Linked DNA regions of Mus musculus. The main gene of each other region encodes a partner of the protein of the gene in region 2 in a complex. Links are inferred from orthologs where the notes say so. Each region holds a gene or a part of one and is shown on either strand. Other genes may lie near its edges.

What was found.
Region 1: the proteins of Timp1 (region 2) and Mmp10 are in contact, whole or in part, in a crystal structure (PDB 3V96), measured with the Homo sapiens proteins. The link is inferred for Mus musculus from reciprocal best matches to the Homo sapiens genes TIMP1 and MMP10. Residues at the interface, in NP_003245.1 of Homo sapiens: Cys24, Thr25, Cys26, Val27, Pro28, Asn37, Leu57, Tyr58, Pro87, Met89, Glu90, Ser91, Val92, Cys93, Arg98, Thr121, Cys122, Cys155, Leu156, Ser157, Ile158, Gln173, Leu174, Gly177, Ser178, Glu179, Lys180; in NP_002416.1 of Homo sapiens: Phe170, Tyr171, Gly177, His178, Ser179, Leu180, Ala181, His182, Ala183, Tyr184, Pro185, Tyr191, Asp205, Ala206, Ser207, Gly208, Val214, His217, Glu218, His221, Phe226, His227, Thr231, Tyr236, Pro237, Leu238, Tyr239, Asn240, Phe242, Thr243.

What each region holds. Positions count from the first base shown.
Region 1 is NC_000075.6:7,501,126-7,505,148, forward strand, and holds the start of Mmp10 (stromelysin-2 preproprotein), read left to right. Parts: upstream 1-1,216; 5' UTR 1,217-1,268; coding exon 1,269-1,373; intron 1,374-2,020; coding exon 2,021-2,265; intron 2,266-2,355; coding exon 2,356-2,504; intron 2,505-2,935; coding exon 2,936-3,061; intron 3,062-3,706; coding exon 3,707-3,871; intron 3,872-4,023. UniProt on the Homo sapiens protein: Can degrade fibronectin, gelatins of type I, III, IV, and V; weakly collagens III, IV, and V. Activates procollagenase.
Region 2 is NC_000086.7:20,869,009-20,872,967, forward strand, and holds the start of Timp1 (metalloproteinase inhibitor 1 isoform a precursor), read left to right. Parts: upstream 1-1,157; 5' UTR 1,158-1,316; intron 1,317-2,022; exon of another isoform or gene 2,023-2,025; 5' UTR 2,026-2,030; coding exon 2,031-2,154; intron 2,155-3,768; coding exon 3,769-3,848; intron 3,849-3,959. UniProt on the Homo sapiens protein: Metalloproteinase inhibitor that functions by forming one to one complexes with target metalloproteinases, such as collagenases, and irreversibly inactivates them by binding to their catalytic zinc cofactor.

The DNA of each region.
Region 1 (4,023 bases), on a different chromosome or scaffold from region 2:
TCGGTACATTTAATAAATAATAACTTACTTAAAAATAAACAGGACTCCATTACCCCCAAGTTATTAATCTCCTTCAGGTGTGGTGGCCTAAAGTAGAGTTCTTTTATCCACCAAAATCACTCCTGCAAGGCACACCCTTTCATGGTTAGTCAACCACAGTCAAAATCATAACTCTGATCAACAAGAACCATCAGCAGGATGTGCCACCAACAACAAAGGAATGATTCAAATGAATATGAGGCATCTCAGAATGAGTCGACTCAGCACCTCAGGCAGTTAGCAATCTGTCCTGCTAACAAGCCCTATCAGCTAATAACCCAGGAATAAAGTAAAAAGGCACTTGCTGCCCGCATGAAGTACACATAAAACCAAGACCTTGTTTGTTTTCCATAGGGAAAGCAATCACGGGATAAAATTACATACTTGCTCAAGTCTAGCTGATGGTTCAGTCTGTCAGCCTCTTTGCCTCTCTGAATTTTAGGTTGGCATATTCTCTGTGTAGTGCCTACACTAAGCCACAAGCTGACTTGGCTGGCCTAGTGTACACATCCCTCATCCAAGCTGTGGCTCAAAGGCCTCAAAGCCTCCTGGTTTAGGAAGAGGAGGACAGAGGTAGGAAGAATATTTTCATTTAATAGTTAATTAACTGATTTCCATTTGACACGTCTTTATGGAGCCAGTATATGCTTATAGCAATTATTCTGAAACAGAGAGTAGGTGGGCCCCAAGCTTCTTACCTCTGTACATTTCCTCCTCCGTATTGACTGCTTTCTCAGAGTACTCTTACCCCAGGGCTGGAAATACCTCTTACCCAAGGACTCCAGCAATGGAGTTTCTGCCATTATAGCTTCCTAGACAGCAGTCCTTACATTCACTTTGCAATCTCTTTCCATTAAACTATTCACTCCTTGCCTGAATGTATGTAAGCCTAAGGCATGTTTTTAAAAATTACACTGCTTTCAAAATATCTAAACATTTTGCAAATATTAATTACCCAGACAGTCCCTTTTCCTCTTTGTAAACACAGAAGCCACATCCTTGAGATTAAGCATTCTTTCAAGTTTACTAGGTTGAGGGATTCACTGATGTAAGCTATTCTCTCTTCATCTTATGAATGTTCTTGTAGTCATTTGGATTAAAAATAGCACCCATGTGAGTCATGCTTAGTGACCTAAACACCGACTCCCTATAAAAGAGTGGCCACTAAAGGGAAGATATGGAAACCAGGTGCTAGAGAAGGATCGGTTTTTAAAGTAAAGACTGTCTGTATGGAGCCACTAGCCATCCTGGCACTGCTGAGCCTACCAATCTGCTCAGCGTATCCTCTGCATGGGGCAGTGACACAAGGCCACCCAAGCATGGATCTTGCTCAGGTAATCAGTCAGTGGTGGGGATCCGCTTCAACCAAAGTGGAGGCACAGCCTTGCCCTTTGGTCTTCCAGCAGCAGTAGTTGAGTTAGTTAGAAGTTGTGTTGGAAAATATCCAAGTGTAAGAGGTAGAAACTCCATCTTCACCGAAAAGTGAAAAGGGAAGGAAGGAATCGCAGTTACTGGGGGTAAATAACAATGACAGCAGCCGAAGTGGGGAGACTGGGAATGGATGAGCTCACTCCTGTGCTGGAATTATGCTATTTAAGATACTTTAGGAGGGAGGGCATGATAATATTTATCTCCTACAACTTCAAGAAGCAAAGAATACTCTAATTTTTCATTTGTGAAAAAAAATGAATTTATCCAACAACACTCAACATTGACAGGTTTGTGTTAATAATGGAAATAGAAAACTTAGATACATCCATTTAATGTGCTCATACATTTATGCCGACTTCCTTGCTTTGGTAGCAAATTAAATTGCAATGAAATAATAAAATGAGGGATTTTTGCAGGAAAAAAATCAAATGAAGCACTACATCTACTTGTGTTTCACTAAACTGGGAATGATTAAAATAGATCTTGAGATTTGTGTATGTGTTTACATTTCATAGCAACCTCTTTAAAACTATGCTTGTTTCTCCACTAGCAATACCTAGAAAAATACTACAACTTTAAAAAAAATGAGAAACAAATTTTCAAAAGAAAGGACAGTAGTCCTGTTGTCAAAAAAATTCAAGAAATGCAGAAGTTCCTCGGGTTGGAGATGACAGGGAAGCTGGACTCCAACACTATGGAGCTGATGCACAAGCCCAGGTGTGGTGTTCCTGATGTTGGTGGCTTCAGTACCTTCCCAGGTTCGCCAAAATGGAGGAAATCCCACATCACCTACAGGTAATGGCTCCAGAGTTTTCACACAGCGTTATAAATGTGTCAGGAGCATCACAGAAGCAAAGATTACCTTCTTTGATTTCTCTTATCCAGGATTGTGAATTATACACCAGATTTGCCAAGACAGAGTGTGGATTCTGCCATTGAGAAAGCTTTGAAGGTCTGGGAGGAGGTGACCCCACTCACTTTCTCCAGGATCTCTGAAGGAGAGGCTGACATAATGATCTCCTTTGCAGTTGGAGGTAATGCTCTCATCTGGTGTTTGAGTTATTCAGGCTACTCAAACAAAATATCTCACATTGGAAGATCTGTAAACAACACAAAGGTATCACTCAGACTTCCTGAATCTGAAAAATATAAAATAAGGGGGTGGGAAAACTCAATCTGGTGTGTTCTTAGGTAGCACCTGTGTTACCTCCTATGGCAAAAGCAGCCAAGAGGTGCCTCCAACTTCTTTCTCATAGACACTAATGGACACTAAGCATCCATGAAGACTCACACCCTTATCGTATTCTAAAGGTGATGGCTGCCTAGCATTCCCATCACACTGAAGATTACATCTAGATTTCAAGAGAAATAAACTGTCAAACCATACAGCCCCTGAGCTCTCTTACTGAAAAGGGATTGGAGGAAATTCTAATACTTACATTTCTGTACATTTGTTTACCATCAGAACACGGAGACTTTTACCCTTTTGATGGGCCAGGACAGAGTCTGGCTCATGCCTACCCACCTGGCCCTGGATTTTATGGAGATGTTCACTTCGATGATGATGAGAAATGGACACTTGCACCCTCAGGTAGGATAAGGTCAGATATGAGTTGTCCAAGAATAACATGATTGTCTAGAGCAAGTCTCAAATGGAATATTCTGCTATCTGTACTTTCTGATTCGCTGTGTAGCAACCTGAAGCCCTATTAGTAATCTACCCATTACATGGTAATGAACCATGTAAGCTGAGTCATTCTTTCTTTGCTCCAAGTACAATATGGTGAGTGCCATTCAACTTTCTTTCCACAATTCAGGATCTTGTACAGGGTTTGAGTGTAACCTCTTCAACACTGTGTACCACTGTTCACCACTGTTAACTGCTATTCACCACTGTTTACCAATCCCATAATAGAGGAGTAGTTTAATGAATGTAATTGAGTAAGACAGTGTGTGATCCCAAGGATGCCCTGTGTGTGCCAGGCATGGTGGCGCATGCCTTTAATCCCAGCACTTGGGAGGCAGAGGCAGGCGGATTTCTGAGTTCAAGGCCAGCCTGGTCTAAAAAGTGAGTTCCAGGACAGCCAGGGCTATACAGAGAAACCCTGTCTCAAAAAACAAACAAACAAAACAAAACAAAACAAAACGGATGCCCTGTGTGGTTGGCATGAGCAATGTGTGTTTGTTTGTGGAATAGTAACGGTTACACTCTGAATATTTGTGGTTTCTCAAACAGGGACCAACTTATTCCTGGTTGCAGCCCATGAACTTGGCCACTCCCTGGGTCTCTTTCATTCCGACAAGAAAGAATCTCTGATGTACCCAGTCTACAGGTTCTCCACAAGCCCAGCTAACTTCCACCTTTCTCAAGATGATATAGAGGGCATTCAATCCCTGTATGGTAAGCAAGAAGAAAAAGAGGCTTAGGGGTGGTTTTTGTTTGTTTGCTTGCTTGCTTGCTTGCTTGCTTTAGTCAGTGCTCTTTAAGAATGTGGTACAGTAAGTCTTCAGGAAAACTTTTGTTTTTATTACATTGTGTGCTCTCGTGTGCAC
Region 2 (3,959 bases):
AGTTAATAAAATTGAATTAGCTAAAGTAAATTTACATAATAACCTTAGTAATGATGTACAGTAAGCATTCAGTAAGTAGCTGTGATCACCACTACCATATTCTCTCTGTCTCTCTCTCTATCTCTGTCACAGGTTCTCACTATGTATCGCTGGCTGTCCTGGAACTCACTGTATAGACTATGTACCCTCTAATTCTCTGGATCAGCTTGCCTGCTGCGATTACAACCATTGTCATTATTATTGGTCTTTCCTCCCTATATTAATTGAAGATGCTAATCAGTCCATAGAACCCTTCCACAGGACCCCAGGGAATACTCCTGCATCATCAGGAAGCTGGTGGGCAGCAGTTGCCTCATCCCATCCCCACAAGGGGTGTGGGCTGGTTGGTGGGGGAAGGGGCAGGGCAGGATGGAGTAGGGATGGTTTTTCTACTGACTCACTAACTTCTTTTACCATCAGTCACCACCACCACCACCACCCATGCTCACCACACCATTCCCTGCTTGTCAAGATTGTGTCCTGCCTGAGTTAGGACTCCAGGGTCAGGAAGCCTAGGTTTAAATCCCTGTTTTGTCCTGTGACACTAACAAAGATCTTTACTTCAGTTATTTGCCTGTTTGGTCTTGTTTCTGTTTAAGACAGGGTCTCTTGTAGCTGATGATATCTTCAAATAGCCTCACCGGTGTGTGCAGCCACAGCAAGGTTTGGGGTACCTAGGCTCTGTCTGCAAGCAGCCTCGGTTCCCTCCCAGTTCTGCCAGACTCAACTGCTATCTTGGATAAGTCATAGACTTATCCAGTGTATCAATTTCCCCACTATGTATTTGTGCCTCTTCTCCCATGTCATGTCCCTCAACTGCTTTTCTAGTTTGTCACCCTCTGACACCCCTCACCAGAATTTCAGATCCACAGGAATGCCTTTCTTGTGAGATTGTTACATAGTAGATGAAAGGCGTGAGAAAGAAGTTATTGGCTTCAGCCACAGGAAGTTTGGGGAATATGGGAAACCTGAGAGGCACAAAGCTTTAGGCGCTCTCTCTTCTGCCCTTCAAGGCCGCCAGGAAGGACTGTGCATGACGTGGAGCTGGGGGAAGGGGGCGCAGTGGGCTGGCTGGCAGAGGAGGGAGTATCTTTGGGTTTATCCTGGGGCCCGCCCCTAGGCTTTGACTCCAGCGGTGGGTGGATGAGTAATGCGTCCAGGAAGCCTGGAGGCAGTGATTTCCCCGCCAACTCCGCCCTTCGCATGGACATTTATTCTCCACTGTGCAGCCCCTGCCGCCATCATCGCAGATCGGGGCTCCTAGAGACACACCAGAGGTAAGTGGGAGCCGGGTGTCCTGGCAGAACTGGGGCTTGCCTGGAGCCTGTGTTGGTGCGGCTCATGCAGCCCTTGCCAGACTAACTGCTCACGTGGCTTGCAGGTATCAGGATCCCTAGTTAGCTAAAGAGGAATATAACGGGAGAGGGCCTGGAATGATCGTCCCAAGCTGGACTCTCCAGACTCCTTCATGCCTTTGCTAAGTGCTCCAAACCCACAAGCCTTTAATACCTTGAAGACTTCCCAACTTGCCTGTCCCTCAATCCTTATGGTTCCTGGTAACTCCCCTGTTCTCTTTGCCATGTCTGGTTCATGGAACTTCAACAGTTCTTCTGCCTACAAATTCCTCAAGCATTACCATTGTCGTAAACCTCCAAATTCCCCAAGACCCTTAACCCCCATTTTCTCCAGCTCCCTAAAACCCCAAACCTGTTCTAACCCCCCAATATCTCTGAAATCCTCAGCCCATTATATTTTAATAGCCCTAATTCCTCATTATATTTCTCCAGTTTCCCAAACTCCAAATTCATCACTACACAAATGTCAGATTTTCCCAATTCTGTTAAATTCTCAACGTTCTCCGCTCCCTTATTCACCAACTGCCACAACTCCATTCTCTAACCTAAAGAGGTCCCAAATCTCCCTAGGACCAATGGCCATGTAAGCCGTTGGTCTGGGAACCTATTAACACCTACTCTTTACCAGCAGATACCATGATGGCCCCCTTTGCATCTCTGGCATCTGGCATCCTCTTGTTGCTATCACTGATAGCTTCCAGTAAGGCCTGTAGCTGTGCCCCACCCCACCCACAGACAGCCTTCTGCAACTCGGACCTGGGTGAGTCTGGCCCCCTTTCTGTCCCTCTTAATCCAATAGGGTTCATTATGGCAGTTGTCTCTAGGACAGTTCTACTTACCCTTCCATACATCTGCTTTTGCCACACTGACATCCTTGGGCCTAAGCCTACCTTTGTGCTGGCTGCTCCCAGTACTATGTACATGCTTTTCTGTAGTTATCTACATGGGTGGCTGCCTTAAAAGTCATCTTACTGAGGTGCTTGCCTACTTTTATTTAATTTTAAATTTAATGCCAGCCACATAGTACTCCTGAACCTTTGTTACATATGCTGTTAATGGCACTTCTTAGGACACAGGCAGGCAGACTTCATTCAGGACCATGACAATTAGAATTTGCCAAGAGATGGGGGTGGTGGGGGGAGATAGATTAACTCTCAACATTACATGGGCAAATGGAACTCAATGGCCAAGGAACAGTTTGGGAGTTGGTGAATGGGAAACCATTGAGAAGAAATATCAAAGGCAAGAGGATTCAGGCTAAATCCATTAAAAAGATTATTTTTATTTATGTGTATGTTTGTGTGTATTCCATGTGTGGTGTGTAGGTGCCTGTGGGTCCTCAAGGCATCAAATCCCCTGGAGCTGGAGTTATGAATGGTTGTGAGCTACCCTATGTGGATTCTGGGAACTAAACTTGGGACCTCAAAGAGCAGCAAGTGCTCTTAACCATTAAGTCATCTCTCTAGCCTATCAGCTTACTTTTTGTTTTTGAGACTAGGTCTCACTATATAACCCAGGCTGGCCTTGAACCCCTGATCCTTCCCACTCAGCCATCCAAGTGCTGAGATTGCAGGTCTGTGCCATCACACCCAGTTTAGGTCTCTTGAAAACTGGCTAGTATAATCATCTGGTGGCCCCATCACATACTGAGGAGAATCAGATAAGGGTGGGTGTTTTCACTAACCTAATTTAGGATACTTCGCTACAAGTGGATTTTAAAGAGAAACTGTACTAATGAGCTTGGAAGAAGGTTAATGAGCCTGAGTAAATTGTGGTCAAGCAAAGCATCTGTCAACCCCTTCCCTATTCTAATTTTCTAACCCACTTAATAGCCTGTAACAATCCACATACCTTTTTTTCTTTTTCCCCTTGGTACCGGGGATTGAACCTAGGATCCAGGCAAATACTGCACAATTGAGCTACAAACCCAACCCTTTTTTTGGTGAATTTTTTATTTTAAACAGGTTCTCACTAAATTGTCTAGACTAGTCTTGAACTCAGAGTAAAGTGATCCTCCATCAGGCTCTGACAGAGCTAGGGTTACAGGCCTGTGCCACCATGCCTGGCTACTTAATGTTAGTCTGTCTCCTCCTGGCTTGAATGTGAGCTCCATAAGGAAATGGATTCCTGTATTTGGGTCACTGTCCCTAACACCCTGAACAGTGGCTGGCACCAGGCACTCCAAAATATTTGTTGAGTAAGCCAATAAATGGATATATGAAAAGGGCTTAAAACAGTGCCTAAAAGAATAGACAATATGTAGATGAATCAACTGATGTGGAAGCCATTTGAATTATGCTGTATATATGCTTTGCTGCTATGGGTTCATGCTGCTTGCCCATTTGATTCCCCATTTCCCCTTCCTTTCCTCTAGTCATAAGGGCTAAATTCATGGGTTCCCCAGAAATCAACGAGACCACCTTATACCAGCGTTATAAGATCAAGATGACTAAGGTATTTTCCCTTCCCTCCCTCCCTCCATGGCTGTACCTAACCTATTCCTTCTCCTCAAAATAGAAGCATCTAACCTTTCGTTGGTGTGGATGTTTTCTGTAAACTTGTGAT